Stegostoma tigrinum: one gene and its partner. The protein of the gene in region 1 interacts with the protein of each later gene in a pairwise test. Links are inferred from orthologs where the notes say so. Each region holds a gene or a part of one and is shown on either strand. Other genes may lie near its edges.

The links.
Region 2: the proteins of serum response factor-like (region 1) and ETS domain-containing protein Elk-4-like interact in a two-hybrid assay, tested with the Homo sapiens proteins (2 studies listed by BioGRID and IntAct). The link is inferred for Stegostoma tigrinum from reciprocal best matches to the Homo sapiens genes SRF and ELK4.

The regions. Positions count from the first base shown.
Region 1 is NC_081357.1:7,492,822-7,508,569, forward strand, and holds the start of serum response factor-like, read right to left. Parts: upstream 6,943-15,748; 5' UTR 6,745-6,942; coding exon 6,223-6,744; intron 1,138-6,222; coding exon 871-1,137; intron 1-870. UniProt on the Homo sapiens protein: SRF is a transcription factor that binds to the serum response element (SRE), a short sequence of dyad symmetry located 300 bp to the 5' of the site of transcription initiation of some genes (such as FOS).
Region 2 is NC_081374.1:6,978,649-6,994,545, forward strand, and holds the start of ETS domain-containing protein Elk-4-like, read left to right. Parts: upstream 1-9,216; 5' UTR 9,217-9,842; intron 9,843-15,897. UniProt on the Homo sapiens protein: Involved in both transcriptional activation and repression. Interaction with SIRT7 leads to recruitment and stabilization of SIRT7 at promoters, followed by deacetylation of histone H3 at 'Lys-18' (H3K18Ac) and subsequent transcription repression.

The DNA of each region.
Region 1 (15,748 bases):
AAAGCTCAGCAGGTCTGACAGCATCTGTGAAGAAAGAAAATCAGTTACCTTTTCGGGTCTGATGACCCTTCCTCAGAACACAAACTAAATTGGTGAATGCAGCCAGAGCATTGCAATTCATGAATCCAATGTGAAAGCATTTATCTTGGCACTGAGTGGTGGTACAAGATAATTAGCCTATAATTCTAAATGTCATGTTACCCCCAGCTCACTGACATTCACAGCTGTTGATCATACAAATCTTGTAAGTATTTTCTATCACAGCGTAAATTCAAACACAGTGAAAGTTATGTTCTAGCACAGCCCAACGAAATGAGAGTAAAAGCTGCTGTCCTGTTACCAGTTCCTCTTCGCTTTGCCCACTCCACACAGTATGCTCAATCACCAACTAGCCCATAGACTCAAGCATGTAGCTGAGATGTCAGAAGACCAAAGGGAGTAATTAGCATCAGCCTGTTCTTTTAACTCGCTCTGTAAAGCCCAGCAATGTTCTCACTTCCAATGAGAAAGTCTGCATCTTAAAAAAGAAATTCTCTGATTACATCACCATCGACCGACAGCATGAGCCCACATTATGACATGAAGCATACCTTCCCTAAAACTGTTGGAAACCGTTTAGGTCCAGGATCAAACCAAGGCCCTCTGGAAGTTTGAAACATCTGGTGGACTCTAACCACAGTCACCTTTGCCAGCCTACCAACAGACAAAACAACTCTGAAGACTAAGACATCGTTAATCTCTCTAATATTGCTTGCTGGCCTTTTCCTCATCATTGCTATTACTACACCACATTCTTTGAACATTATAGGGACCACTCACTGCATGACCACTTGTTATTCTTCTTACCATAAAAGCAGTTTTGGTTTTTACCTTATTTTCCCCGCTGCTGTCCGTCTCCGAAACCTGATACGTCAGATCAGTTTCTTCAAATCCTGTGGCACTCATCCTCTGATCCGTAGTGGGATCGGAACGTGGTGGGGAATCAGGGGAATTTAAACACGTCTGGATTAATGCCTTCCCTGTCTCACTGGTGATCATAGGCTGCAGTTTTCTTGTAGCGAAGGTATACACGTGTCCTGTCTCACTAGCTACCAGGAGAAGCACTTGGGTACCCGTTAGTGTGGAGAGCTCATAGGCCTGATAATAACAAGACAAGGAGACAACAAAGCAACATTTCATCATTCAATCACACAATGAATCTCAACTACTGAAAAATCTACTCCAATAAAGAACTAGATAATACAACATGGTGATGAAAAATCTCAAAAACAAGAGACAAGCACCTGGGATCCATGTAAAATAAAAGGGCATTTAGGGCACGATGTACAAGGCAACATGGTTTTACAAATGGGCAATAACATCTGTCAAATTTAGAGACTTTTGGGAATGTAACTAGCTAGGTAAATAAGGGGAAACCAGTAGAAGTAGTGCAGGTAGATTTCTGAAAAATACGACAAAGTACACAAGTTCAATATAGAAGATAAGCAATTATGAATTTGAAGACAATATATTAGAACTGATGGAGGGCTGATTAACAGACAAAAAGCAAACAAGGATATATGGAGCATTTTCAAGTTGTCAGGTTATGGCTAGTGGACTTCCTCAGTGCTTGGCCTCAGCTATTTACAATCTATGTGAATGGCTTGAATGAAGAGATATAATAAGCTGTGAGAAGGAAACCAAGGCAGCAAAGGTGGGGACTCGGTGAGCGAGTGGACAACAATGTGATAGATGGAGCAAAGAATGGAGAAGGCCAAGGTATTTCACTTTGGCGAAAAGGTGGGAAACTTGCAAAGATACACCTAGGTACACCTGTACAAGGAATGCAGATGGATTGCATGTATCACAAGCAATTAGAAAGGCAAACAGCAGGCTGTTTCATTGCACAGGCATTACATCACATATTGTTCTAATATTCAAGCACATAAAATCAATTGTGGGTTTCTGCCAATTACGACCCAACAGGCCAATTCTCCACCCACAGACCCTTGTGCACGTCCACGAGACGGTGTGATGTAAATATATGATGGAGAGCAGGATTTGCTTTTTTCTTTCCTTCTCTGCTGCCCCTCTGCCTCATCGTTTGAGCCCATACCCTCTTCACGATGATGCAACTGCCATTTAGAACAATGGGTAGCACCTTCTTCCCACTCAGGAATGTCAATCTTAAGGAGACCTGAAATGAGCCATCTGAGGGTCAGAAAAATAGGACATGGTAGGCAAAACATGTTTCAAAAATCTAGACAATGTTCAGTCTATCAGAATTGATCATGTAGGAGTTAAACCTGAATATTACATCAAGGATGACAAGATTTGTTTGATGGTCTGCCCACAGAATATGGTGGAGGCACTGCTGGTGCAATTTCTCTCAGCCTTTTATGTGTAACTGAAAATGTCCAGGTCTCAATGCAGTACAGTAACACTGCAAATAACTGCTGGAGTTCTGTGTTATTAAAGGCTAAAATTTGTAAAAAAAAACTAAGCTGGTGCCATTAGTAGTGATATTTAGAGAGAAGTAGCAGAAATGCACAACATACTCCAGAGTCTCTCCTACAACAAAAATGAGCCAGAATATTTGAGCAACCAGGGCGGATTGACAAGTTTTGATTTGGCAACACAGATCAAGTCTATTGCATATAGAGCTGAAGAGATTTTCAGCAACTTGAAAATCTGGTGCAGAGTGGGCAATAACACTGCAATCATTTGTCTACAATGGTCAATTTCATTTTGATAGAGGCAACTGGCGCAACAACAATTTTCACTAGATGGCATTTAATGGTCACACCAGAGCACAGTGCACACAGGGATACCCATTTCCTTCACACTAGCAAGTCTATTCTCAGTCTGCTCCCAGCAACACCCCTGATTCAATGTACACTGTCCCAAAGTTATCCACAATATTCCAGAAAACAAATCTATTCTCAGAACACCCCTTGCATTAGACTTCCTTGAGAATATCAGACAAGATGACCGCCACATCTACTGGTTCTATTATTTAAGAAAGGGAAAAGCCAGAGAACTACAGGCCAGTGAACCTAATGTCAGTTACGTTGTTGGAGGAGATTCTGAGGGACAGGATTTACATGTATTTGAAGAAGCAGAGGCAAAGACTGATCAGGGATAGTGAAACATCTGTAGTTCTTGCCATCTCTTAGGGATAGTCAACATGGCTCTGTGCATGGGACATCGTATTTTACTAATTTGACAGCTGTTTTGCAGAAGTGACGAAGAAGATTGAAGAAAGCAAAGCAGGAGATATATGTATGCACTTCAGTAAAGAATCCAAAGTTCCACATGGTAAACTAGTTAGTAAGGTTAGATCATGTAGAATACAGGGAGATTTGGATACATAACTGGCTTGAAGGTAGGAGATAGAGGGTTGGTGATGGAGAGGTGCTTTTCAGACTGAAGGCCTGTGCCCAGCAGCACACTGCAAGGATCAGTGTTGGGTCCGCTGTTTTTTTTGTCATCTGTATAAATGGTTTGGATGTGAGCACAGGAGGAATGGTTAGTAAGTTTGCAGGTGAGAAAATTGCTGATGTAGTGGACAGCAAAGAAGGATACATCAGTACAATGGGACCTTGCTCAGATGGGCCAGTGGGCTGAGGAGTGGCAGATGGGTTTAATTTAGATAAATGGGAAATGCTGCATTTTGATAGGGCAGTTCAGAACATGACATCACACTTAACGGTGAGGTCCTGGGCAGTGTCACCAAACAAAGAGGCCTTGGATGTGGGTTCATAGTTCCTTCAAAGTAGAATTCCAGGTGGACAGGATTAGTGAAGGCGACAACTTGATATTCTTGCCTTTGTTGGTCAGTGCACTGAGTATAAGAGTAGGGAGGTCACGTTGTGGCTGTACAGGACATTGGTTAGGCCAGTTTTGGAATACTGCATTCAGTTCTGGTCTCCTTGCTAGAGAAAAAATGTTGTGAAATGAAGAATAGTCAAGGTCTTTTGATCAGGGTGAGGGAGTCCAAAACTAGAGGGCATAGGTTTAAGGTGAGGGAAAGGATTTAAATGGGACAACTGTTTCACACTCAAGGTGGTGCGTGTATGGAATGAGCTGCCAAGGGAAGTGATGGAGGCTGGTACAATTACAACATGTAAAAGGCATCTGGATGGGTATATGAATAGGAAGGGTTGACAGGGAAATGGGCCAAATGCCAGCAAATGGGACTAAATTTATTTCTGATTTCTGGTCAGCCTGGACGAGTTGAACCGAATTGTCTGCAAATGCTGCACAAGTCTATGACTTTACTTGTGCCAGTGTTTCAGCAGCTAAGGTAATTTTAACTCCTTCTGTCTTTTTAAAAAAAAAACTTGCCTTCCCAGCCAGCCTAAAGCAGTGTTTATTCATCATCACCAAGAATGCACCATATTAGAATATTATCTGGAAGACTATGATGTGATATCTATGATATCTAAAACCAATTAAGTTTCCACCTTCTGAATCACTCAAGGTTAGAAACTTGGGAGCACATTTCAAACAGACTTCTCTACTCTCGGATTCACAATTAGATTGTTTGAACTACATTCCCAGCAGTACAGTGCTTAAAGAGCTAAGCTCTTCAAGATCACTGCTCCTGCGACAAGGGAGTTTACTCTAACGTTATAGTCACGGCTTTTCTTCAAAACATGAGATGCTGGTCTGGTCCCTTAAAAAGGAGTACTGTTTCAACATATATCCATCTGTACAATAAGCCCACCTGTCTCTCCATCAGGTAGCTCTGTATACATCTACAAGACCACTGTCATCATACAGAATCATAGCAACATTACCTCCCACTGTCCACACTAATACTACTGTTGCTACATACAATCATGTGTTACCTTCCACTGTGCAGACCACACCAGTCACCATAGAAAACACAATGTGGTACAGTGCTTGTATCAAAACCATTGTCACTCTATAGAATGACAGCAACACACTACGTTGTCTATGGTCACAGTGGTGTGGGTATAAAGGACCACAGAAAGACAAATTCCTGTAGTGTCTGTAACACTGTAGCTATATAGAACCAGGGCTTTTATTTCCACTGACCCTATGTAGTATCAGCTGCAGAACGACCTCCCCAATGATATCTCCAATCTCCCTTCAGCCCTAGCTCCACCTTCCACTCTTTTCCTTACCCTCCCCAACCCGCTCTCTCCTGCAGTCACACCTTCAACTCCTTTCTCCTCTTTCAGCACCACTTTCCCTTCCCAGTCTCCTCTCCCTCATCAGCTCACACTACCACATCTAACCACCCACATTCCCACTAAGATTACGGCAGCTATCCAATGGGCCATTACTAAGGATCATTTGTTTACTTTACCTCAACCCCCCCCCAACCAAAAGAACCCTTGCACATTGTTTAAACAGATACATCTTCTTGAATGCCTTAACCGTCTTCACAACACTTCAACGGTTCAGTGCAGACCCAAACCATACACAGACACACAGTTTTGCTCCGAGCACATTTATTTTTCTGCAGACCACTGAAAATCTCTCCCTGGAACAAGAGTCACTCTTCTCCCCGCACCACCCTCACCCTGCCCCACCCCTACCTGTGGCAGGGAGCCACTCCTCTCCCCCCAAACCAGGCAAGGAGTCACTCCTTGCCCTCTCCTCTCTCTCTGCCACTCCATTTCCCTGTTCCACCTCTCTGGGACGGGAGTCGCTCTCCCCACCTCCACCCCACCCCACCCCCTCTCCCTCACCTCTCTGGGACGGGAATCGCTCTCCCCACCTCCACCCCACCCCACCCCCTCTCCCTCACCTCTCTGGGACAGGAATCGCTCTCCCCACCTCCACCCCACCCCACCCCCTCACCCTCACCTCTCTGGGACAGGAATCACTCTCCCCACCTCCACCCCACCCACCCCGTCTCTGGGACAAGAGTCAGAGTCACTCTCTCCTTCTCCACTCAAACCTGCCCCCATCTGGGACAAGAGTCAGAGTCACTCTCTCCTTCTCCACTCAAACCTGCCCCCCTCTGGGACAAGAGTCAGAGTCACTCTCTCCTTCTCCACTCAAACCTGCCCCCCTCTGGGACAAGAGTCAGAGTCACTCTCTCCTTCTCCACTCAAACCTGACCCCTCTGGGACAGAAGTCACTCTCCCCTCCTCCACTCAAACCCAACCCCACCACCGTACTCTCTGGGACGGGAGTCACTCTCCCTACCTCCACTCAGAACGTGACCCCCGCACTCTCCAGGACAGGAGTCACTCTTAGACTCACCTTCTTCATGATGCCAGTCTTCCTCTTGCTGAAGGTCGTGTATCTCCTCAGTTTGTTATCGATAAATTCCATTTTAATTTTCACTCTGCCCCTAGTTTTCTTGCCAGGCTTTAGTCCGGCTCCTGGTGCAGTCCCTCCTGGGGCCGACGCTGCCCCATAGCCTCCAGCCGGCGCTAAGCTCCCCGGACCAGGCTCTAGCCCCGGGCCGTGTCCGCTCACCCCTGCCAGGCCCGCCGCAGCCGCTGCTTCCAGGTCGGACAGGCGCCTTTTGACCCCCCGCCTGTCAAGCGGAGCCGGGGCCGAGGCGACCACCAGCTCCTCGTCCTCGTCGCTGCTGGGTTCCGAGCAGCTGTAAGGGGGCCCAGGCAGCGGGGCTTCTCTGTCCCGGGACACCAGCACGGCAGCGGCTGCTGCCTGGGGGCCCGGGCCCGGGGCCGGGGCCGCTGGCTGCAGGCTGCCCGCCGGTGATGACGACGAGCTGTTGGGCTCAGGAGGAGCGGTGCCGGCCGGACTCTGCAGCATGGCCCCCGGGAGCGGGGGAGAAAGAGTGACCCCTGCCCCGGTCTAGTCCCTAAATCTCAGTCAGAGCCGATCTCTCCTTGTTATCTTTCGGGGCCACTTGTCCCGGTCTCACCCAGGTCTTTTCCAATCTATCGCCGCTCTTAGTCCGGTTCTGCTCTTGGAATAATCCCAATCCGTCCTAGTCCTTTACCCGGTCTATCCCCCCCACCCCCCAAAGTGCACCCCCGTCTATCACCCCCCCCCGACCCCCCCCCCCCGGTCTGTCCCTCCACACCCAGTCTGTTCCCGGTCTCTTCTCCGTTTCCCCCCCCCCCCTGCGACTCCCAGTCTAACGCCGGGGACACTGTCTACAATGTGGAAGCCAGAGACACCGGGAAAGGAAACCTCAGCCGCATTACTCTCAACCACACTACACTACACATTAAAATAGTGCCAGGCTAAGTGCCCCCTCTCCTCAGCCAGACCCTCCCTGACCCGTCCGGAAAATACCTTTCGCCTCCCTCCCACCTAGGCCCTGGGCAGTAGCGTCCTCGGAATCCGCAGAATCCACTACTCTTAGGGGCTGAGGCGTGCAGGCGGAGAGCAGTGATACGGCCTATACCCGGCACTATTTCCACCATATAAAGACACAATGTTTCCTTTTATGGCGCGGCCGCTCCTTATTTGGTGAGTCACCGCTCAGCTCGCTGATTGGTCCAGAGCCGAGGCCCCAACCCCCACCCGGAATAATCCACATACCAGAGAGACCAGGGCCAGAGACAGTGGACAGGACAGAGAGAGGGGACAAACTCAGACACAGTGGACTGGACAGAAATGCCACGGCCAGATGTGTTAGTGTGGACAGACAGGAGAAAATGGACAAGACAGAATGGATGGGAGTGCACAGACACAGAGGACAGAATGAATTGGAGAAAATGCTCCCAGCCCACAAGACAGGTTAGAGTATGCTGAACAAGCTGACCACAGTGTTCATCATGTTCAGTCTGGGGAAGATTATAGCTACCTCAATCTGAATCCTGAAGTGAAAAAGTTTTTACAGCACAAAAAGAGGCCACTCAGCCCGGTGTGTCCCAACCAATCTTTTCTATCCCCTCCCCTGTCTGCTTTCCGGAGAGACCACTCTCTCCGTGACTCCCTTGTTCGCTCCACACTGCCCTCCAACCCCACCACACCCGGCACCTTCCCCTGCAACCGCAGGAAATGCTACACTTGTCCCCACACCTCCTCCCTCACCCCCATCCCAGGCCCCAAGATGACATTCCACATTAAGCAGAGGTTCACCTGCACATCTGCCAATGTGGTATACTGCATCCACTGTACCCGGTGCGGCTTCCTCTACATTGGGGAAACCAAGCGGAAGCTTGGGGACCGCTTTGCAGAACACCTCCGCTCAGTTCGCAACAAACAACTGCACCTCCCAGTCGCAAACCATTTCCACTCCCCCTCCCATTCTCTTGATGACATGTCCATCATGGGCCTCCTGCACTGCCACAATGATGCCACCCGAAGGTTGCAGGAACAGCAACTCATATTCCGCCTGGGAACCCTGCAGCCATATGGTATCAATGTGGACTTCACCAGTTTCAAAATCTCCCCTTCCCCTACTGCATCCCTAAACCAGCCCAGTGCATCCCCTCCCCCCACTGCACCACACAACCAGCCCAGCTCTTCCCCCCTACCCACTGCATCCCAAAACCAGTCCAACCTGTCTCTGCCTCCCTAACCGGTTCTTCCTCTCACCCATCCCTTCCTCCCACCCCAAGCCGCACCCCCAGCTACCTACTAACCTCATCCCACCTCCTTGACCTGTCCGTCTTCCCTGGACTGACCTATCCCCTCCCTACCTCCCCACCTACACCCTCTCCACCTATCTTCTTTACTCTCCATCTTCGGTCCGCCTCCCCCTCTCTCCCTATTTATTCCAGTTCCCTCCCCCCATCCCCCTCTCTGATGAAGGGTCTAGGCCCGAAACGTCAGCTTTTGTGCTCCTGAGATGCTGCTTGGCCTGCTGTGTTCATCCAGCCTCACATTTTATTATCTTGGAATCTCCAGCATCTGCAGTTCCCATTATCTCCAATCTTTTCTATTCCCATTTTCTAATGCTTGATAGGACAGAGGCCAGTCCACAGAACTGTCCGGAACAGATTGATCAATGTCGAGCCCAGACAGAACATTATACATAGCTATGGCATTTCAAATGCTCATCTAAATACTTATGAAATCTCTTGAGGGTTTCTGCTTCTGCCAACCTCTTAGGTAATGAGTTCCAGATAACCGCAACCATCTAGGGGCAAATGAATTTCCTCCAAACCCATTTAAACCTGTTGCCCCTTAAAAACTGTGCCCTTGGTTATTGACCCCTCGACTTAGGGATAAGGTTCCTCCCCATGTACTATTTATTACTGTAAGAACTTTGTACACCTTAAGCAGAAGCCCCTTCAGCCTTCTCTGTCCAAAGGAAAACAGTCCTAGACTGTCTAGCCTCTCTTCATAGCTGAATCATTCCAGCCCAAGCAGCATCCTAGTGAATCTCCTCTGCATTTTCTTTTTTGCAGTAATTCCTTCCCATTGGGTAGTGACCAGAACTGCACACAGTCCTTCAGCTATGGCATAATCAATGTTATCCACAACTCATTCACAACCTTCTTGCTCCACTAATAAAGGCAAGTCTCCTATATGCTGCCTTAAGCAGCTTATCCATCTGCCCTCCAGCCTTCAAGAATCTAAATGATGATGCAAATTAACATCCTTCTGATCCCCTGTACTTCCTACAGTGCTATCTTTCAAACGGTACTCCTTTGTCTTGATGGTCCTTCCAAAACACATCACCTCACACTTCTGGATTAAAATCCATTTGCTACTGTTCAATCCATCTGATCAACCCCTTTATATCCCCCTGTAATCTAAGGCTTTCTTTCTTGCTATCTACCACACCAACCTTTTTCATTTTACCTCCAAACGTACACAAACATATGTTGATCATTAATGTACGCGACAAAGCAGCAGTGAACTCGGTGGTACACAACTGAACACAGGCTTCCAGTGACACAAACACAGTTCTTCATTATCATTTGCTTCCTGCCAGGAAGCCAATTTTGTATCTAATTTGACAAAGTGCCCTAGATTCTATGGGTTCTTACCTTCTTAACTAGTCTGCCATCCAAGACCTTGTCAAAAGCCTTGCTAATGTACATATAGACACCATCAACTGCACAATCATCATCTACACATCTAGCCACCTCCTTGAAAAACTCAAATATAATCTGTCAGAACCATCAGCCTTCCTGCTCCTCGAAAACTGCTTGGCCTGCTGTGTTCATCCAGTTCTACGCCTTGTATATCTCAGACCTCATTGCGCCCGAGCAAAATCACTGCGGATAGAACAAAGAAAATTACAGCACAGGAACAGGCCCTTCAGCCCTCCAAGCCTGCACTGACTAAGATCCTCTGTCTAACCTGTCATCTATTTTCTCAGGGTCTGTGTCCATCTGCTCCCTGCCCATCCATGTACCTGTCCAGATATATCTTAAAAGACGTTAACGTGTCTGCGTCTACCACCTCCACTGGCAACGCGTTCCAGGCACCCACCACCCTCTGCGTAAAGAACTTTCCACGCATATCTCCCCTAAACTTTCCTCCTCTCACTTTGAACTCATGACTCCTAGTAATTGAGTCCCCCACTCTGGGAAAAAGCTTTTTGCTATCCACCCTGTCTATACCCCTCATGATTTTGTAAACCTCAATCAGGTCCCCCCCTCAATCTCTATCTTTCTAATGTAAGTAATTCTAATCTACTCAACCTCTCTTCATAGCTAGCACCCTCCATACCAGGCAACATCCTGGTGAACCTCCTCTGCACCCTCTCCAAAGCATCCTTTTGGTAATGTGGCGACCAGAACTGTACACAGTACTCCAATGTGGCCGAACCAAAGTCCTATACAACTGCAACATGACCTGCCAACTCTTGTACTCAACACCCTGTCCGATGAAGGAAAGCATGCCATATGCCTTCTTGACCACCCTATTGACCTGCGTTGCCACCTTCAGGGAACAATGGACCTGAACATCCAGATCTCTCTGTTCATCAATTTTCCCTGGGACTTTTCCATTTACTGTATAGTTCGCCCTTGAAATTGTTCTTCCAAAATGCATCACCTTGCATTTGCCCAGATTGAACTCCATCTGCCATTTATCTGCCCAACTCTCCAATCTATCTATATTCTGCTGTAATCTCTGACAGTCCCCTTCACTATCAGATACTCCAATCTTCGTGCCATCTGCAAACTTGCTGATCAGACCACCTGCACCTTCCTCCAAATTATTTGCATGTATCACAAACAACAGTGGTCCCAGCACAGATTCCTGTGGAACACCACTTGTCACAGGTCTCCAATTTAAGAAACTCCCTTCTACTCGTACTCTGTCTCCTGTTGCCCAGCCAGTTTTTTTTAAATCCATCTAGCTAGTACACCCTGGACCCCATGTGACTTCACTTTCTCCATCAGCCTACCATGGGGAACCTTATCAAACGCCTTACTGAAGTCCACTTTCCTGCCCCCTAAACCCTCTTAATGCTAATTATTTAATTATTACAGTGCCCTCCCTGATTTCTACATCTACACCTTGCTTGTCTGCAGTGAATACAGATGTAAAGTACTTATTTGAAACCTCAGCTGTGTCTTCCGGCTTCACACACACATTCTCATTTTGGTCCGTAACAGGCTCTACTCTTAACATTACTTTTTACTTGCCCTTAACATAAAATGCTATTAGATTTTCCTTCATGTTAGCCACCAGTGTTTTCTCATGGCCCCTCTTTGCTCTCCTAATTTCTTTTTGAGCAACCCCCTGCACTTTCTGTAGTCCTTGAGGGCATCTTTGTAACATTTGAGCCCTCCGTATTTACCATAAGCCTCTTTTTTTCTCCCTGATACTATCCTGTACGTCCCTTGATATCTAGGGTTCTCCAGACATGTTGGTCCCATGATTCACCCTGCATCCTCATTAATACCATTATGAATATCTCCCACTTTTCTGATGTGGCTTTTCCTTCCAATCCACTTTGGCCAGATCCTGTCTTATCATATTCAAATCAGCCCTCCCTCAATTAGGAACGAAGGAACAGTAGTAGATCATTCAGCTCCTCAAGCCTCTTCCACCATTCAGTTGTAGATCTCGGGCCCATATCCATTAATACCTTTGCTTAAAACTTATCTATCACAATCTCAGATTTAAAATTAACCACTGATCCAACATCCACTGCTGTTTTGGAAGTAATTCCAAATATCTACCGCCTGCTGTGTGTAGACCATGGGTTTCCACCTTAGTTAACAATCTCTTCGATGGGATTTTATCAAATGCCCTCCAAAAGTCCATGGAAACAAAATTCCATCATTCCCCTGTCCACTACTTTCGTCACAACTCCAAAAAAAAAGCAGAATCTTTATTTCCAGTTCATCTTTGTCCTTGTCCATAATTATCCTGACATTTACTGATTTGTGGTCATTATCACCAAAGGCTCTCCATTGCTACATCTACCACTTGCCTGGCTTCATTCCCTAATATTAAAGTCCAGCACCACCACTCTCTTGTAGGATTTTCTAAATTTTGGCTTTCTAAAGGAAGAAAACGCTCTTCTGGACCTATTTTAAGAATTCTGCCCTCACTTTGTCTACTCTAGGTAATATTAGGGAAACTGAAGTCTCCTACTATTTATCCTATTATTTTTTAAAACTTCCTCAGGATTTGTTTACATGCCTTTTTCTCTTTCCAAAACATAGTATATGTCTAGCAAAGTGATTGCCTCCTATTTGTTTTACCCATATGAATTAATCTGACGAACCTTCGAAGATACATAGCCAAAAGGGGTTTTCACACAGGGTCCCATTGCCTAATACAAAGAGATGTCAAGGTGTGTTGGCTTTGAGTATCTTTGGAAGGCAGTAGAAGCTCCCTACGTGGGATGAGAATACATAGGGTACTCTGAAGGACTGGATCAAAAGTCTTGACCAGTCTGTTCAGTTGACAGGTGTGTTCTTTGGTTGGATCAGCAGATAGTTGTCCATAGTGTTCCTGGTTGCTCAGCCTCCGGTACACTTCCTTGTAGTAGTCCGTTCTATTCCGTATGACGATGGATCCTCTTTTGTCCATTGGTTTGATGATAATATTGCGATTGATCTTAAGAGTACAGATGCCATTGCATTGTGCCCTGTTGATGTTTTGCACTGCCTCTGACTGCGGCTAATAAATCTGGAATTCACACATTCTCTGATGGCTTCAGCATACTTGTCAAGCCAAGGCAATGACCCTCCTGAGGCGTCCAATTTGACTCCTCCTTTGCTCGCTCCTCCATGGATCTCTGTCGACTGATCCAGTTCATTGATTGTCTCATTGGAGTAACTGCTGACATCTTGGAAGAATTCCTGGCATCTCATTCATCTGATGAATACTTCTGTGCCTGCCATGAGACCAATGGGGTTCATTTCAGTGGGCGGGCAGATACTGAGTTCTTGGCTGAGAACCTCAATCTCGTCTGGTTGAAGGCTGTGGTCTGATAAGCTGACAATAGATTTTTCCATGGTGGCACCCATTTCAACTGTACCCCCTTCAACTGTACCACCAACTTGGTTGTTGCTGGTGTGATGCCAGGTTTCTCCGGTCTCTTGTTCTTGCTGTGCATGTAGGTGGTGTGGTTCCATTGCCTCGTCTGTTTGGCAGTGTCTCGTGACTGTACAGCTGTATCTCAAGCACAAGCTGAGAAAATGGACTGTATCTCAATTTCAAGGCTAGCCGTAGAGTTGGTACACCACATGATCGAGGAGTTTGAGAGAGGTGCAATGGCAAAGTCTCTCAGTGTTGTAGGTCAACCCGAGTGGGTTTGTGATCGGTAGTCTGTTTGGAATTTTTTGTGCTTTCTTGCATTTCTGTAGAAACTTGATGTCTGTGTCGATATGCATAATATTCTTGAATATCCTCTCCAGCTTGAACAAGCAGTTGGTGGTTTTGTGATAGCCATGATGTGGAGGTGCTGGTGTTCGAATGGGGTGGACAAGGTCAGAAATCACATGACACCAGCTTATAGTCTAACAGGTTTATTTGAAAGCACAAGCTTTCACAGCATAGCTGCGTCAGCAGGTGAAATGACAAAGAAATTCTGTTCTGTGTGCCTCTAAGTAACAGATCTAAAGGTCACACCATGGATGAGGATGTATCAAACAAACCTAAGATGCTGTTGAATCTTTAATCAGTTAGAAAGTTTTAAATGAGTAATATGCATATGTACATCATCAAATTCCTTTCAAGTCACTAAGTTTTTATAAAGAAATCTTACCTTCCCGGCTGTGCCCCGCCCCACCCCGGCTCGCGCACTCACTGCTCCCGCTGCTGAATTGGAGGAGCATAAATTGAGCACAGATGTTCTCGGGGAAATACACAACAGAAATCTGGTGGTTGTTCAGGGGACACATGCTACAGATACTGGATACGTTTGTCCCTTTGAGGCAAGGAAGGGATGGTAAGGTGAAGGAACCTTGGATGACAAGACACGTAGAACATCTAGTCAAGAGGAAGGAAGCTTACTTAAGATTGAGGAAGCAAGGATCGTACAGGCCTCTACAGGGTTACAAGGGAGCAGGAAGGAACTGAAAAATGGACTTACGTGAGTTAGAAGCAGGTAATGAAAACACTTTGGTGGGTAGGATTAAAGAAAACCCCATGATGTTCTATACTTATGTGAGGAACAAGAGGCCAAAAAGTGAGGGTAGGCTGATCATGGATAGTGGAGGGAACTTGCGTGCGAAGTTGTAAGAGGTACAGGAGGTCCTTAGTGAATACTTTGCTTCAGTATTCATCAGTGAAAGGGGCCTTGACGCTTGTGAGGACAGTGTGAAACAGGCTGATATGCTGGAACAGGTTGACGTTCAGAAGGAGGATGTGTTAGAAATTTTGAAAAACATGACAGATAAGTCCCCTGGGCCAGATGGGATATGCCCAACGTTACTATGGAAAGCAAGAGAAAAGATTGCTGCCCCTTTGGCGATGATCTTTGCATCCTCACTGTACACTGGAGTAGTACCAGATGATTGGAGGGTGACAAATGTTATTCCCTTGTTTAAGAACTGGAATAGGGATAATCCTGGGAATTACAGACCAGTCAGTCTTAGTTCTGTGGTGGGCAAATTATTGGCAAGGATTCTGACAGATAGCATTTATGATTATTTGGAAAAGCACAGTTTGATTGGAAATAGTCAGCATGGCTTTGTGAGGGGCAGCTCATGCCTCACAAGCCTTATTGAATTCTTTGAGGATGTGACAAAACACACTGATGAAGGTCAAACAGTGGATGTGGTATATATGGATTTTAGTGAGGCATTTGATAAGGTTCCCCATTCAGAAAGTATGGGATTCAGGGAAATTTGGCTATCTGGATATAGAATTGGCTGTCCAATAGAAGACAGAATGTGGTAGGAGATGGAAAGTATTCAGCCTGGAGTGTATGTTTCCTCTAGTTTGGTCCGTTTAATAATGATGAAGATGTCAACATAGTGTATCCATAGTTTTGATTAGATGAGCAGAAGGGCCATGCTTTGAAGTCTCTCCATTACCACTTCAGCTGTTAGTCCAGAGATAGGTGATCCCATCGGTGTCCAGTTGATCTGTTCATATATTTGGCTGTTAAAGGTGAAGTGGGCGGTGATGCACAGGTCCAGTAGCTTCAGCATGTTGTCTGTGGAGATGGTGTCACTAAGATCTTGTTCTTGTTTTAGTAGTGTTACCAGTGTTTCTGTTGCTCATGTATGTCTCTCGATGTGAATAGGGCAGTAACGTTAAACAATACCACAAGCTCGTTGTCATCTACTCCTATGTCCTTGATTGAATTGAGGAACTCCTGGGCTGAGTAAATTGAGTGGGGTGACTTGCTGACAAGGTGTTTTAGACTCCTTTGTAGTTCCTTGGCTAATTGACATGATGGTGTGCCTGTCAGGGAGACTATGGGTCTGAGGGG
Region 2 (15,897 bases), on another chromosome or scaffold:
CCAGCCTATCCAGCCTCTCCTTTTACTCAAACCTTTCAGTCCTGGCAATGCCCTGGTCCTCTCTACAGATACTGCCAGACCTGCTGAGTTTCTCCAGCAGTATTTTCCTTTTATCCTAAGTTGGTTGATAGTTTAACTCTCAACACACTTGCCATTGTTCAACAATTGCAGAATCATGCCTAACATCAGCTATCATGTTCTGAGTTCTTCTCTGTCTTAATTATCTCGATTAAATAAATCTGAGAGCATACTTCATTTTCTATGAAAACTTTTTTAAAAAATCACAAACACAATAGAACAAATTTATTTTAGAAATTTTAACTGTGAGGCAATGACCCTTCGAGCAAACACTATTTTAATTTGCTTTTGTGTAAGCCTGTGCAGACAGTTGAGTGGCAGGTCCAATAGATATAAATCTGGGCCTGTATTTAAGAATGACATGTGTTTTGTTAATATAGCAAGGATGAATTTTCAGTCACTTTGTTGGATTGACTGATACATAGGTCCAGAATGCTACTTCATGAAAAGGCTCAAAGCCCACTATCAACTTCCCATTAAATCACACTGACCTGCTTAGGCCTGAAACATCAGCCCTCCTGCTCCTCTGATGCTGCTTGGCCTGTTGTGTTCATCTAGCTCCACACTTTGTTAGACCTTAGAGAATATGAGTTCTCTTACTGGGCTGTTAATCTGGTCCAATCAAGGAGCATCGGTTGATAGCCAAGAACAGGAGTGTCATACTTCCTAGATAACAAAGTGTAGAGCTAGATGAACACAGCAGACCGGAGACTTCCTGTTCATTGTGAGAGCTGGCTCTGAGGGAACTGGATCAATGTCAAGGACTCAAATAAAGGATGGCTTGATGATGGGATACCAGCCTCTGCAGAGTAATTTACCATTCAGCCACAGAAACTGTCCTCCCATCTGGCTGTGCAATCTCCATAAAATGGCCAAGGGGTAGTTGGTTAATGCAAACATGAGTAATTTGGATGAAAAAGGCTTCTGTTGTTATGGGACAATGCAGGTGGAGATGGATCCTCGGGAAACTGGAGGAAGAAAAACACATTTTAAAATTTATTCTTTCAAGGATATGGGTGTCACTGGCAAGGCCAACATTTGTTACCTGTTCCTCGTCATCCTTGACCTACAAATAGGTCTATTACTGAGAAAGCATGTCCATAGAATCCCTACAGTGTGAAAACAGGCCCTTCAGTCCAACAAGTCCATACCAACCCTCAGAGCATCCCATCCAGAACCATCCCCCTAATTTACACATCCCTGAGCACTATGGGCAATTTAGCATGGCCAATCCACCTAATCCGCACATGTTTGGACTGTGGGAGGAAACCAGAGCACCTGAAGGAAACCCACACAGACCCGGGGAGAATGTGCAAACTCCACACAGGCAGTCCCCCAGGGATGGAATTGAACCCAGGTCCCTGGCACAGTGAGGCTGCAGTGCTAACCGCTGAGCCACTGTGCTACTCTTCTCTCACAATGTTCAACATGAAATCTTAATTCTGAAGCCAAAATATAATGTTTACACATGGTAGTGTCACAGAGTCATACAGCATGAAAACAGTACTGTCCCAAGTCCAACAGGCATTGTAGATTTAAACGCATGTATTATTCAGTGTTCTTGAGCTTGTGAATTTCTCTTATGAGATCAGTTTGAACATTTAGCAATTAACCCTAACCCTAACCCTAATCCTATCACTACAATAGTAGATGTAGCATCTAAGGAAGCAACAGCAAGAGCAACAAAGCTGAACCAATCACAGACACCGATGACTGTCACCAGTCCCATCATCACTAAGTTAACGGTGAGTAACGCAGGGCTTACCCAGAGCTTTAAGAAAGAGGCGAGGGAGGCACGGGGTCTTGATTGAGCTGGAGGCAAAATCCAGTTTCTTAGAGGTGGGGTACAACGTTCTTAAAACCTTTCAGCTAGGTAAACTGGCCCGGAGCCGGTTTTACATTTATTATCATGAATATTCAGTAATACTCCAGTCCCTGGCAGTATGTTCTCAGGCTTAAAGTTGATTGCCAAGAATGTGAAATGGGTGTGTTTATAAACCCAGTAGTGTAGAGGTGCCAGCATGGGTGAGGGTGTTGATAGATAGGCTTCTCCTTGCAAGCTCCAATGTGTGCAAATGTACTCGGTGACTTGGCTCTCTCATAATTACAGTGTTCCTTTGCATAAATGCTTACAGTGTTAAAGCTGAAGCCTCCCCATGTTGATCAATTCATGAGAAGTCTCAGTCTGGCTTGTTGTTGTTAAATGCTTACTGTGTTAAAGGGTGAATCCTGACTGTGCCAACAATTCTGCCCACATGAGGCAGTCCCATTGGCTGATGCCAGTACACTTGACTGGGAAGGGCAGGCAAGACTGAGCTCAAAGGTCGACTCAACTTACAAGATAATGTTTTGTTGTTGTGGCCTTGTTTCATACAGGTTTTGGCACAAAGCTCTCACATCAATATGTTCCTCTTGTTGTGATGGAAAGTCAATGACCTCTTGATGTGTGAGCTGCTGAGTGTCATCACTCTTCTATGTTTTGAATGTGAATCGTCAATGCATGGGAGACAGTACCACATTTGCGCCAGTATTGCTACATTGAGAACTGCAAGAAAGTGACAGACATTTGCAATGTGCAGTATCTGATGCCTGGCGCTGAAGCTCCTGTGTGAATATCCTCAGCTGTGCCAACCTTACCACAGTAACTGATATCCGCATGAAACATAGAGCAGATAGTGTGCATACCCTGACAGAGTGTAGCAGAACAATCATTCTCTTTCAGCACTGAAGCTAGGTTCTCTTGAGCATTCATCACCACAGAAACCAGGCTGCATTGGACAGTTACAATAGCCTCTTGTTGCTATCCAACAAGGAAAATCACTTCCCTTCTTTCCCGGGCACCCTCTCTACGAGGCTTCACCGAAACATGGCACCACTATTTCTTCAGGCTCTGGCCTCTCCAGTAGTGGTTAGGGTGACAGAGATAGTGGGTGATACACCTGGGCAGGGACAACTGTAGCGTTCTTGGTACCCTTGACAACTATGACTTTGATGCCCACTCAGAAAAAATTGAGAAGTCTAAAATTAAACTTTCCTTTATTCATCAACAGGATGAGGATGTGACTGGCTAGGCAGCTTTTATTGCCCATCCCTAAATGCCTAGAGGGCAGTTCAAAGTTTGTTGTGGGTCTGGAGTCATGTGTAGGCCAGACCAGGTAAGGATGGCAGTTTTCTTCCCTAAAGAGCATTAGTGAGCCTGATGAGTTTTTCCCCAACAATTGACTCACAGTCATCATTACATTCTTAATTCCAGATAATTTATTGAACTCAGATTCCACCATCTGCTGTGGTGATTTTCAAACCTGGGTCCCCACACCATTACCTGGGTCTCTGGATTAACAGTCCAGCAATAACACCACTAGGCCATTGCCTCCCCTTAAGTTTCATATTAAATTTAAATCCCTTTAAATTAAATTTTATCTTTAAAAATTCTCTTCCTGACTTCTGCCTCTTAAAATCTGGTGCCCCAGGTGATTGGCTGGTTCCCCTGCAATGTTAAACTGACACTCTTCCTGAGTTACAGAGAGGAATGTGCTATCTGGATGCATTTTGTAGACAGCTCCAGGATGTAGAAGCAGGTTCCAGTTGGTTATCAAACATCCTGCCCATAAAATCTGGTGCTTTACCGAGGGCGTGAATGAGTTTAGAAGAACATAACTACACAGGACAATCTGACTCACACATCAGTGGAAGTTCTACTAGCTGGTACACCTGCCTCCACAGTTCCTCCCAAATAAAGAAGGACTCAATCACCAATGAGCTAACCATAGCCTACAAAACCATTATCATGTGATCATTAGTAGTATAGATACTGCTAGCGTAAAAAAAAGGTGGTTTAATCAGTCACACAACCATTGTAGCTACATTTGCAACATTCATACATGATATCATCACATGGCTTCACAATAACTCATGGCAGCACAATTTGCAACGTAACCAATGCTGAAAGTTGTTGATAGTAAGTATGCAAATGTGTCAGGCAGTAAAGAAACCAAACTGTATGTTGGCCTACATAGTGAGAGGATTCAAGTACAAGAACAAGGATGTCTTGCTGCAATTATAAGAGGGCATTGTTCAGGCCACACGTGGAATATTGTGTGCGGTCTTGGTCTCCTTAGCTGAGGAAGGATGTTCTTGCTGCAGAGGGAGTGCAGCAAAGGTTTATCAAATTGATTCCTGGGATGGCAGGACTGACATGCCAGGAGAGACTGAATCAGTTAGGATCTTATCCATTGGAGTTGAGAAGAATGAGGCAGCATCACATAGAAACTTATAAAATTCTAACAGGACTGGACAGGGTAGATGCAGGAAGGAGACAGTAAGGAGCAGCTCAAGTCAATAAACATAGAGTTGGAAAAGCACAGCAGGTCAGATAGCAGTTTGTGGGAACTTGGAGCACACAATCTGCAGCGCTGCATTTCATGCATTACGACAGTGACTACTCTTCAAAATACTTCTACAGTTGGAAAGGAGTTTATGATGGTCCAAGGTGATTAAAAATGCTATATAAATACAATTCTTCCTCCCCATCTTTGTCCCATTAGGCGATGATCCAAGAGGGTTCATCATGACTTTCTCAGTGTAACTGCGGGGTGGACAATAATTGCCAAATGTACCCACCTCCTAAAAATAGCATTGAAAGAACCTCAACGGAGAGTGAATGGCTGACAGTTTTCCAGTCTGTGTCACTGTTTTTAAAACCAGCAGATCCCAATGTTAAGCCCATGAGATAATGTCCTCTGAGTGACACAACCTGCCCTATGAGATTTTACTTTCCATACTTCCCCTCAGGAATAAACATATCGGTAAGGGCCGAATGAGAATAGAAACATAGAAGGTAAGAGCAGGAATAGACCATTCGATCCCTCGAACTGACTCTGCCATTCATTATAAACAAACTGATCATTGAGCTCAATAAAGTGACCCGACCCTACTCCCATTTCCTTTTAACCCTTTAGCAACAAAAGCTATATATAACTCCTTCTTGAAAATATTCAATGTTTTGGCCTGAACTATTTTCTGTAGTGGCGAATTCCATAGGCTCATCACTCTGAGTGAAGAAATTTCTCCTCATCTCAGTCCTAAAAGGTTTACCCCATAACCTCTGTTTATGGACTATCCCACCATTGGGAACATCCTTCCTGCATCCACAGTCAATACATATGAAGCTGGAAAAGCACAGCAGGTCAGACAGCATCAGAGGAGCAGGAAAGTCAATGTTTTGGGCTGAAAGCCTTTGTCCAGGATGTGTGTGTCTGTGGCAATTATTGTCCACACTACAGTTATACTGAGAAAGTGATGATGAACCCTCTTGGACCATCAACCAATGGTATAAAGATGGAGAAGAAGAATTACATTCATCTAGCATTTTTAATCATCTCATATCAATATAAACCCCTTTCCAGCCATGAGATTATTTTGAAGAGTAGACATTGCTATAATGCAGGAAATGGAGGAGTGGACTGCATCCCAAAACCAGTCCAACCTGTCTCTGCCTCCCTAACCGGTTCTTCCTCTCACCCATCCCTTCCTCCCACCCCAAGCCGCACCTCCATCTCCTACCTACTAACCTCATCCCACCTCCTTGACCTGTCCGTCTTCCCTGGACTGACCTATCCCCTCCCTACCTCCCCACCTATACTCTCCTCTCCACCTATCTTCTTTTCTCTCCATCTTCGGTCCGCCTCCCCCTCTCTCCCTATTTATTCCAGTTCCCTCTCCCCATCCCCCTCTCTGATGAAGGGTCTAGGCCCGAAACGTCAGCTTTTGTGCTCCTGAGATGCTGCTGGGCCTGCTGTGTTCATCCAGCCTCACATTTTATTATATTATAATGGAGGAGTGGAGATTGTACACGCCAAGTTGCCACAAACTGCAATGTGATTATGACCATGTGATGCATCTTAATGATGTTACCTGATAAACATTTACCAGGCTATTGAATAGCGCTTATCACAAGGACCTTGCTTTAACATGTTATCCAAAATATAGTGTCTTCAGAAATCTATCTGCCCTCCAGTGCTGTATCCCGTCACCTTAATTCTTGTGGCCGGATATCAACATGGATTTCACAAGCTTCAAAATCTCCCCTCTCCCCACTGCATCCCAAAACCAGCCCAGCTCGTCCCCGCCTCCCCAACCTGTTCTTCCTCTCACCTATCCCCTCCTCCACCTCAAGCTGCACCTCCATTTCCTACTCCTAACCTCATCCCGACCCTTTGACCTGTCCGTCCTCCCTGATTGACCTATCCACCCTCTCCCTCCCCACCTATACTCACCTCTACAGGCTCCATCCTCGCACCCTAAACTTGTCTATCTCCTCTCCAACTATCTTCTCCTCTATCCACCTTTGATCCACTTCTCCTTCTCTCCCTATTTATTTCAGAACCCTCTCCCCATACCCCTTTTCTGATGAAGGAACTAGGCCTGAAACTGGGCTCCTAAGATGCTGCTTGGCCTGCTGTATTCACCCAGCTCCACACTTTGTTACCTTAATTATTGTGCTCAACTTTTCTCATTCGCACATGGGACATGGGCATCACTGGCTGGGCCAACATTCATTGCCCATCCCTGGTTGCTGTTCAGTAAGTGGTGGTGAGCTGCCTCCCTGAACCGTTGCAGTCCACATGCTGTAAATAAACCCGAAATGCTCTTAGGGAGGGAATTCCAGGATTTTGAGCAGGTGACAGTGAAGGATGGTGAGTGGGTTGGAGTGGAACTTGCAGTTGGTGGCTTTCCCATGTATCTGCTGTCATTTCCCTGTAGATATAAATGGTCATGGGTTTGGAAGAGGCTGTCTAAGTGTGCCTTATTGAGTTCCCGCAGTGTGTCTTGAATGTTGTGCCTTGTAGTGACACTTGAATTTACAACTTTCTGATTCTGACGTAAAAACATGCTGTATGGCTGGCACTGAGAAAACTTGAGCTATATTCCGAGATCACAGATTTCATGCAGATTTCCAGTCTCTAAATCTTCTGCCACCCCATCTTCAGCCAATGCCCTGTCCCTGTTACAAAATGATCTGCAATGCGTAGCTCTTGCAGAAGGAAAGGATCACTCTGATAGCCACAGACATTGTGGTGCCATTCTGTGTCAACATTCCTTAGGTTGTTTGATGGCCCTCTCTGAGTGATGGTTTACAGTAACAGGCCATTCAGCCCACCTTGTCCATGATGTTGTCACCATAAATCAAAAGGGTATAAGAAATAAGAATAGGAGTAGGCCATTCAGCCCCCCTCAAGTATGCTCCACCATTCAATAGGATCACAGTTGATCCAACATTCCTCACATCCACTTTCCTGCCCTTACCCCATTACACATATATTCTCCTTTGATCAAGAATCTATCATTCTCTGCTTCTCTGTCCCCACAGTTCTCTCTGGTAAGGAGTTCCAAAGACTCACAACCTTCTAGGCACTATGCTCCCTGGTCCCGTGCTCTTCCAGGAGGGGAAAGAATCCTCTCCGCATTTACCCTGTCAAGCCACTTAAGGATCCTATATATTTCAATTAAATTATCTCTCGTTCTTCGAAACTCCAGCCAGTAGAGTTCTAATCTGTTTAGCCTTTGCTCATAAGACAATCCCTGCATGTCAGCAACAAAAACAAAGTTGCTGGAAAAGCCCAGCAGGTCTGGCAGCATTTGTGGAGGAGAAAATGGAGTTAATATTTCAGGTCTGGTGACCGGTCATCCGCAGTTCTTTTGGCCCTCCATGTCAGGGTTCATCTTTGTGAACCTTCTGTGAGCTGCGTCCAATGAAGTGATATATTTCCTTAAAGAAGGGGACCAAAACTGCTCCAGTACGCCAGACATGGTCTCACCAGCACCTTGTACAGTAGCAGTAAGATTTCCCTACTCTTGTACTGTAACCCCCTTGGGATAAGGGCCAACATTCCATTCGCCTTCCTCATTACCTGCTGCACCTGTGTCCTAGCTTTCTACATTCCATGTATAAGTCCTTCTGAGTCCCTTTATGTTGCAGCTTTCTGCAGTTCTTCTCCATTTAAATAATATTCTGTTCTTTTGTTCATCTTCCAAAATGAACAACTTCACATTTCCCAGATGATATTCCATTTCTCAATTTTTTGCCCATCAGGCACAATTAATATATCCTCTGCTCTTTCTCCATCAGCAATTTCCCAGCTTCTTTTCCGATAATATCCTTCCAGGAGAGAGTTTGGATAGACAATGGCATTTGCATCACTGAATTCCTCACCATAAACATCCTGGCAGTTACCAATGACCAGAAGCTAAACTAGATCTACTCTATAAACATTCTGGTTACCAGAGCAGGTCAGAGGCAAGAAATCCGGCAGTGAGTAACTCACCTTCTGACTTCCAACAGTCTGTCCATAAGACACAAGTCAGGAGGCTGATGAAATACTGCCCACTTGCCTGGATGGTTGCAGCTTGAACAACACTCAAGAAGCTCAATACCATCCAAAACAAAGCAACCCACTTGATTGGCACCACATCCAGCAACATCCACTCCCTTCACCACTGTTGCTCAGTAACAACAATGAGTACTATCTACAAGATGTGCTGCAGAAATTCACCACCAAAGATCCTCATACAGCTCCTTCCAAAGCCACTACCACTTCCATCTGGAAGGACAAGGTCAGCAGATACATGGGAGCACCACCACTCCAAGTTCCCCTCCAAGCCACTCACCATCCTCACTGGGAAATATATCACGTCCCTTCAGTGTAGTTGAATCAAAATCCTGGCACTCCCTACCTCCCCAACAACAGTGCGAGTAATCCCACACCAAACAGATCATGTAGTTCAAGAAGGCAGCTCTCCACCACCTTCTCAAGATTTATTGAAGATGGACAATAAATACTGCGCAGGCAGCCACACGTAAAGGTGACGATTAAAAATAATTCTCTTCAATCAAATGTCTTCACAAAGGCCTTTGTTGGGTCAGCCCTGATTTCCCCAGTTTTAGTTAGAAGTCTAGGTCTACCGCCTCTGTTTGGAGCAATATGTGGGGTAGACATCTCAGCTACTAAATTCCCAACCAGTTCCATTGCACTGCGACCATCCACGTGTCTCGCTTTAGGACGCCGCGGACATCCTCAGCTGAGCTGACAGCTCCCAAAGGAACCGAAAGGAAATCGATCTGGAGAAAGAAGGGGGTGGTAGCGAAGCGAGTGGTAGAGGTGGGGAGAAGCAGACAGAAATCGCCACACGGTGGGGGCAACACGAGGAGAGGATTATAAACGGAGGGGAGATAGAGCTGTCAGGGGTTAAACAGTTCCCTCCTGAGGGTGGGGTTGTGCGTAGGAGGTGGAGACCGTGAAGGGAGTTGTGATTGTAAGGGGTGGGGGCGTCACAGAAAATCTGGCGTGAGGAGGTCCTGATCTCTCTCTCTCTCACACACACACACACAGGCTGGCAGAGAAACACCCACCAGCAACCACCAGCCCCACCCCACCCCACCTTCCGCTGGAGAAAGCCCTGACCCCTAAAGTGACAGGAGACACCGTGATATTAACACGGGGAGGAGGTGGAGGCGAAGGAAATTGACAGACATGAAACTGATCGGCGGGGAGAGCCGAGGCCAGCAGCTGCCGCTTCACAAGGCGGTTAGGAACTGCAGCTCTCCCCCTCAGCCTCCCAGCTCCCAGTAAAGCGACCGGAGAAGGATTTCTATCGTTATCAAAAACAGCATTCTTTTGATTCGGTTTTAATGTTAATAGCATGATCACCCTGGAACTGCCGAACTCGGAATTCGCGCAGAGAGACCTGGCACACTGGAGTTGGGGGTGAGTATCTTTTGTATCTGTTTGTATCTTACTGTGTCTTTGCAACAATGTTTCATTTCCTTTGTTCTTGGTTAATTTGTAACAAATTTTTTTTAAAAAATCATTGGGTTACAATGTATCGAGCTAGCGGATGTAGCGATTTCGAGTCCAGCTGTCGACTGCATGTCTATGTGGTGAAGTGGGGAGTTAATTAAAAGGGTTTGGCAAATGACTATTAGAAATCAAGCGAAAAAGATAAAAACAAACTGAGCATATTGCTGAAGGTTAGGAATGGCATTATATATAATTGCCTAAACAGATGGGCTGTACTTGAATTTAGAGATTGTTTCTCCCCGTGATGTAAACTCTCACTGGACCTTGTTTAGGCCTGGAGTTGCACCTCCCGATTATTTTGCCTTGCACTTTATTTTATCGCTTTTATCAAATTTTTTTCCCCTGACCCCACAAATCTGCTTCTCCAGTTGGCAGCTGTCACGGAGGGAGATTCGCTTCCTTGAAGAAACTGGTCAGAATTTGGGTTAAGAGTTGTGGATGTTTGCCTCGCTGGCCTTGGGCGAGGGATTAGGAGGACCAACGTTCCGGCGCTACATCGCTTATCCTCAGGGAAGCGTGTGTACGTCTGTAAGGCAGGAGAGAAGGAGGGAGTGTTGCTTCTTCCACACCAGGCAGCGCTTGCTTGCATTTATATAGCGCCTTTCACAATTAAGTGTTTCAAAGCACCTCACAGAATTAACTCTCTTTCAATGCGAGAACTGTAAGTCAGTATTGAACCCTCCCTCAAATAACAATGCAACTGTGGCCAGACAATCTGTTTATGTGATATTGAGAGGGAAATAACGGCCAGGGCACCAGGGAGAACTCCGAAATTTCTTCAAAAGCGTATCACCTGGAGGAGCAGGAAGGTAGAGCCTTGGTTTAACATTTCATTCCGGGAGACGATGCAGCACTCGCCCATGGCACTACAGTTGTAGAGGGGCACGTGACTGTGGCACAAGGGAATGTCAGGACGGGGCCAGGAGTGTGGAGGTGGGCATAGGATGTAAATGATGCTTTTCAGGCCCTAAAGTTATTGAACTTGGTAACAAATTCTGAAAGCTGCAAGGTTGTTAAGTAGAAAAGGTACGACACGGTGGCTCAGTGGTTCGCACTGCTGCCTCACAGCGCCAGGGATCTGGGTCTGATTCCAGCCTTGGGCCGCTGTCTGTGCAGAGTTTACGCATTCTCCCTGTGTCTGTAGGGGTTTCCTCTGGGTGCTCTGGTTTCCTCCCACAGTCCAAAGATGTGCAGGCTAGGTGGACTGGCCATGCTAAATTGCCTGTAGTTCCTGGGGATGTTTAGGTTGGGCACATTAGACATGGGGAAATATAGGGTTATGGGTATGGGTGGGGTGCTCTTCGGAGGGGTGGTGCAGACTGTTGGGCTGAATGGCCTGTTTCTGCACTTAGGGATTCGATGAAAATGAGATGCTGTGCTTCCAGGTTGCACTGCAGGAGGCCTGAGACAGAAATGTTAGTCAGAGAACACAGCGGTGTGGTGAAGTGGTAGGCAGCTGGAAGCTTGGGATCATTTTTGAAGACAGGATGTACGTGTGCCTCAAAACGGTCGCCCAGTCTGTACGCTTGGTTGAAATACACATGTGGATCAGAATCCACTGGTGGTAATGTTCAGTTCAGTTGCCACATTGTTGTCCTAGTGGGTTGAAATGGAATCAAGACATGGGGGCGCACCAGGTACTACTACAAGGAGGAAGCACGTGTCCCTGAATAATAACAAGGAGAACTGATGGCCTGGCTGTGAAGCAAAGTAATCTTGTCAGAAAACAGTGAGCGCAAAGCTGGAGGCTGAATTATCTTCACAGTAATCACTCCCACATACTCATTATTTTTAACAGTAATAACTTGTGTTATTTATACAGCAGCGACGCTGAAGTTGGAGCTATCGTTAGAGAATGGGTAGGTTTGCAGGTGTCGTAGGCAATGCTGCTAGTCAATGCAATAGGCAGTCCACTCTGAAAAGATTAATTATCTGATTGAGCCCTACACATAGCTGTCAGTCTAATGCCTGTGTTCCTGGCATTCCTCTGTCTTGGAGGATACATTACTGTAAATAGTTCATAGATCCAGTTAAAGTATCAGAGGAATGGAATTCAAGGGTGTTAATTATCACAAACAAAAATGTATTTGTATGCAGGTGGGTTTTCTCCTAGCATGAAAGCGTGAGACCAACAATATAGAAAAATGAGTAAAGGACAAGAAATGTGTAGGAGCAGGAATGAGGAGGTAGTGTGGTGGCATTGTATCAGAGATAAAAGGAACTGCAGATGCTGGAGAATCTGAGATACTGCAGATGCTGGAGGCCCAAAACGTCAGCTTGCCTGCTCCTAAGATGCTGCTTGGCCTGCTGTGTTCGTCCAGCTCCACACCTTGTGGCGGCATTGTCACTGGTTACTAATCCAAGCAAATGTTTTGGCATCACTGGTTTAAATCCCACCATGGTGGCTAGTTGAACTCAGTTATTGAATCTGGAATGTAAAGTTAGTTGTGGTAATGGTGACTATGAGAATCAATTGTTATTACACCCCATCTAGTTCACAAATGATAGGAAATCTGCCATCCTTACCTGATCTCACCGTTGCAGACTCTTAACTGCCCTCAGTTGGCCTCACAAGCTGATTAGTTCTAGGGATGGGTAACACATGCTAGGTTTGCCAATGATACCCAGGGAAGAATGAAGAAAACAAGGGTGCTATTCAAGTATCCTTCAATCAGAATGCAGCTGATCTGTAACTCAACTCCATTCATCCAACTTTGCTCTATATTTCTTAACATTCTTATGTCATGCACTCCTTACAATTGCAGTCTTGAGAGTTTCAACTGAGCTCCAGCCTCAACAGCCTTTTGGCGAAGAATGGTTCCAAATTACCATTCCCCTTTGAGCGAATCCCTTTCTGATTTGACTCCTGAATTTAGTTTGAAAACTGTACAAAATTATTCCACACTCTCCACATGAGGAACTGCCTGATCTGCATCTAGCCTCACAACACCTTTGCACATTATTAAATGCCTCCTTTAGATTGCCCCTCATGTTTCTAATCACAACAGGGCACACATCAGGTTTATGTAACCCATTCTCATTATTCTGTGCCAGCAGTATACTGATCAACAGGCATTTTACCAAGACCTTGCTGGAGTCCAGAATTAAATGCAGCATTTATATTGCTCTTTTCACAATCTCAGGAGGACGCAAAACATTTTGCAGCCAATAAAGCATTTCTGAGTATTCCTTGTGCATATTTAAGGGTGGGATACGTAGATTTTTGATCAGTATGGGGAATCCAGGATAACAGGGAAAATGCAGGAAAGTGGATGTGAGGAATGTTGGATCAGCCATGACCCTATTGTATGACGGAGCAGGCTCAAGGCACAGAACGGCCTACTCCTGTTCTTATTTCTTATGGTCTTATGGCCTAAATAGTCTTCATTGTGTAATGTAGGAAATTTGACAAGCAATTTACATGCAGTAAGGCCCCATTAAAAAAATAAGAAAATATCTGTTTGTGATGGCAGTCAAGGAATAAATATTGGTCAGAATAAGTCTTCAGAAAGTGTATGGGATCTGTTACTGAAAAGACAACTTAAGGTTTCGTCAGAGAGACAGCTTCTGTCTATGTAGCACTTCTTAGACACTGGCACGAATTTTGTGTTCAAGGTCTCAGGAGTGATGTTTGAACCTACAACCTTTTGATTCAAGGCATGAGTGCCACCCATAGCCAGGACTGATGCAGAATCAGGGCCTTGATTTTATTGGAGCAGGCTGTCTCACAGTAAGTGAATGTACCCTGCTTACATTCACTTTTTAAAATATATTCTCCACAAATTTGTTGGAAGTGAGAGGATATAACGGTGTGGTGGAAGCTATGGGACTGTTGACCCAATGATACCGAGGTCTATTTCCTTTATCAATTAGATGGAAAATTGAGAAGTAAGGAGCTTAGACTGAGACTGAGACGAATTCCTGCCTAATCAGTTGCACAAAGTAAAATCAAGATGTGGGGATGGTGGGGTGGAGAAATGACTAGATTAAGAGACAGAGAAAAAAGAAATTGTAAAGAAAACCTAGAAAAATTACTTTTAAAATTGGTCATTTTGAAAGACTCCCCAGAAAATTCAAATCCTGGGTGAATCAATCTCCACATTTACAATCATTTATCTTTCTGAGCAGGAGAGTTTTGCTGGCAGTAATTAACAATTATCACATTTTTAAAAGGGGACTTGTGTTTTTAATTACTAGACTTAAATTTCTGTGGTGTATTTGATGGGTAATTAATGTTCGCATGCAACAAACTTCAAGAAACTCACGGGGCGGTAGAGTGAGATGCTATTTACATGAAGCTGATGGCTCAGCAGTGCAAATTAACCAATAATTTGTGGTGATTTGCATTTCACAGAGCATCTATTCCTTGCTACAAGTTCCTGACTGATTTGTGCTTAAATTGTGTGTCTTAATCTTAACCTATCATTTCTTGATCCTATTTTCATTCTTCAGATGTCCTTTTCCCCACTCTCACTCAATTGCACAATGCAGTGGGAAAGTTGAGATAAATTCCACCATAAATGTACCACTCAGAACTCTGTCATCTATTGTGCCAAGAGAATAGTTTGTGTGTAATAGCAGCAATCTGTAACCTACGGTTTGCACTTCTGATAGCTGTGCAGAATTAATCAACTCTATCAAGTCTGTAAACGAGAGGTTGGACATTCATTACTATTAACCTTCAGGATGACTTGTTTTTGTTCTTATATCAGCCTACATGACCCATTCACTGAGAGTTGATATTATAAAGATTTCTAAAATTATGAGGGGCATGGATAGTGTGAATGGCCATGGTCTTTTCACCAGTGCAGGGGGTCCAAAAATAGAGGGCATAGATTTAAGGTGAGAGGGAAAGACTTAGAATAGAATAGAATATCGTTTATAGTCACATGTACTCCAGTATCGAAGTACAGAGAAAAGTTTTTACAATGGCTGCCTTTTAATGATACAAGTAGCTAGGTACAAATGTTACAGAGTCAAAAACAATGTTGTTATACAAAAGAGGATTGAACAGTAAGGATTTACATTACACCCTGGTCAGAATATCAAACAGCAGCAGCTCAGCATGTGGCACCAGGCCCAAGTCCAACAACTGACCCACATCACACCAGCCTCCTGTCCGCTCCTCACTGGCACTCAACAACAACAAGGTAAGTTGCGCATTCCTGGGATTCACCTCCCTTGCGCTGCTCCGGCACTTGGGATTCTTCACTCGGTGTCCCCGGGCTCACGGCCCACTCGGTGTCCCCGGGCTCACAGCCCAAGTGCTATATTGGCTCATTCCCCTCCCTGCTCCAGGACACGCAGTTCACACGTGATACCTGCGGGGCAGCTTTTTCACTCAAAGGCTGGTGCATTTATGGAATGAGCTGCCTGAGGAAGTGGTGCAAGTGGGTACAATTACAGCATTTTAAAGGCTCCTGGATGGGTATATGAATAGGAAAAGTTTAGAGGGATATGGGCCACATGCTGGCAAATGGGACTGGATGAATTCAAGGTTTCTGGTCAGCATGGACAAGTTGGACCAAAGCATCTGCTTCATTGCTGTACATCTCTATGACTCCATGACAATAGATCTAATTTGCCTTAGGCAGGATTGGATTAGATTCCCTACAGTGTGGAAACAGCCCTTCGGCCCATCAAGTCCACACCGCCCCTTGAAGCATCCCACCCAGACCCATCCCCCTATAACCCACACATCCCTGAGTACTACAGGCAATTTAGCATAGCCAATCCACCTAGCCTGCACATCTTTGGATTGTGGGAGGAAATCCGAGCACCCAGAGGAAACCCACACAGACATGGGGAGAATGTGCAAACTCTGCACAGACAGTCACCCGAAGCCGGAATTGAACCCGGGTCACTGGTGCTGTGAGGCTGCAGTGCTAACCTCTGAGCCACCGTGCCGCCCCCACTTAATATAGGTCAAATAAATATTTTTAAAATTAAAAATGACCTTTAA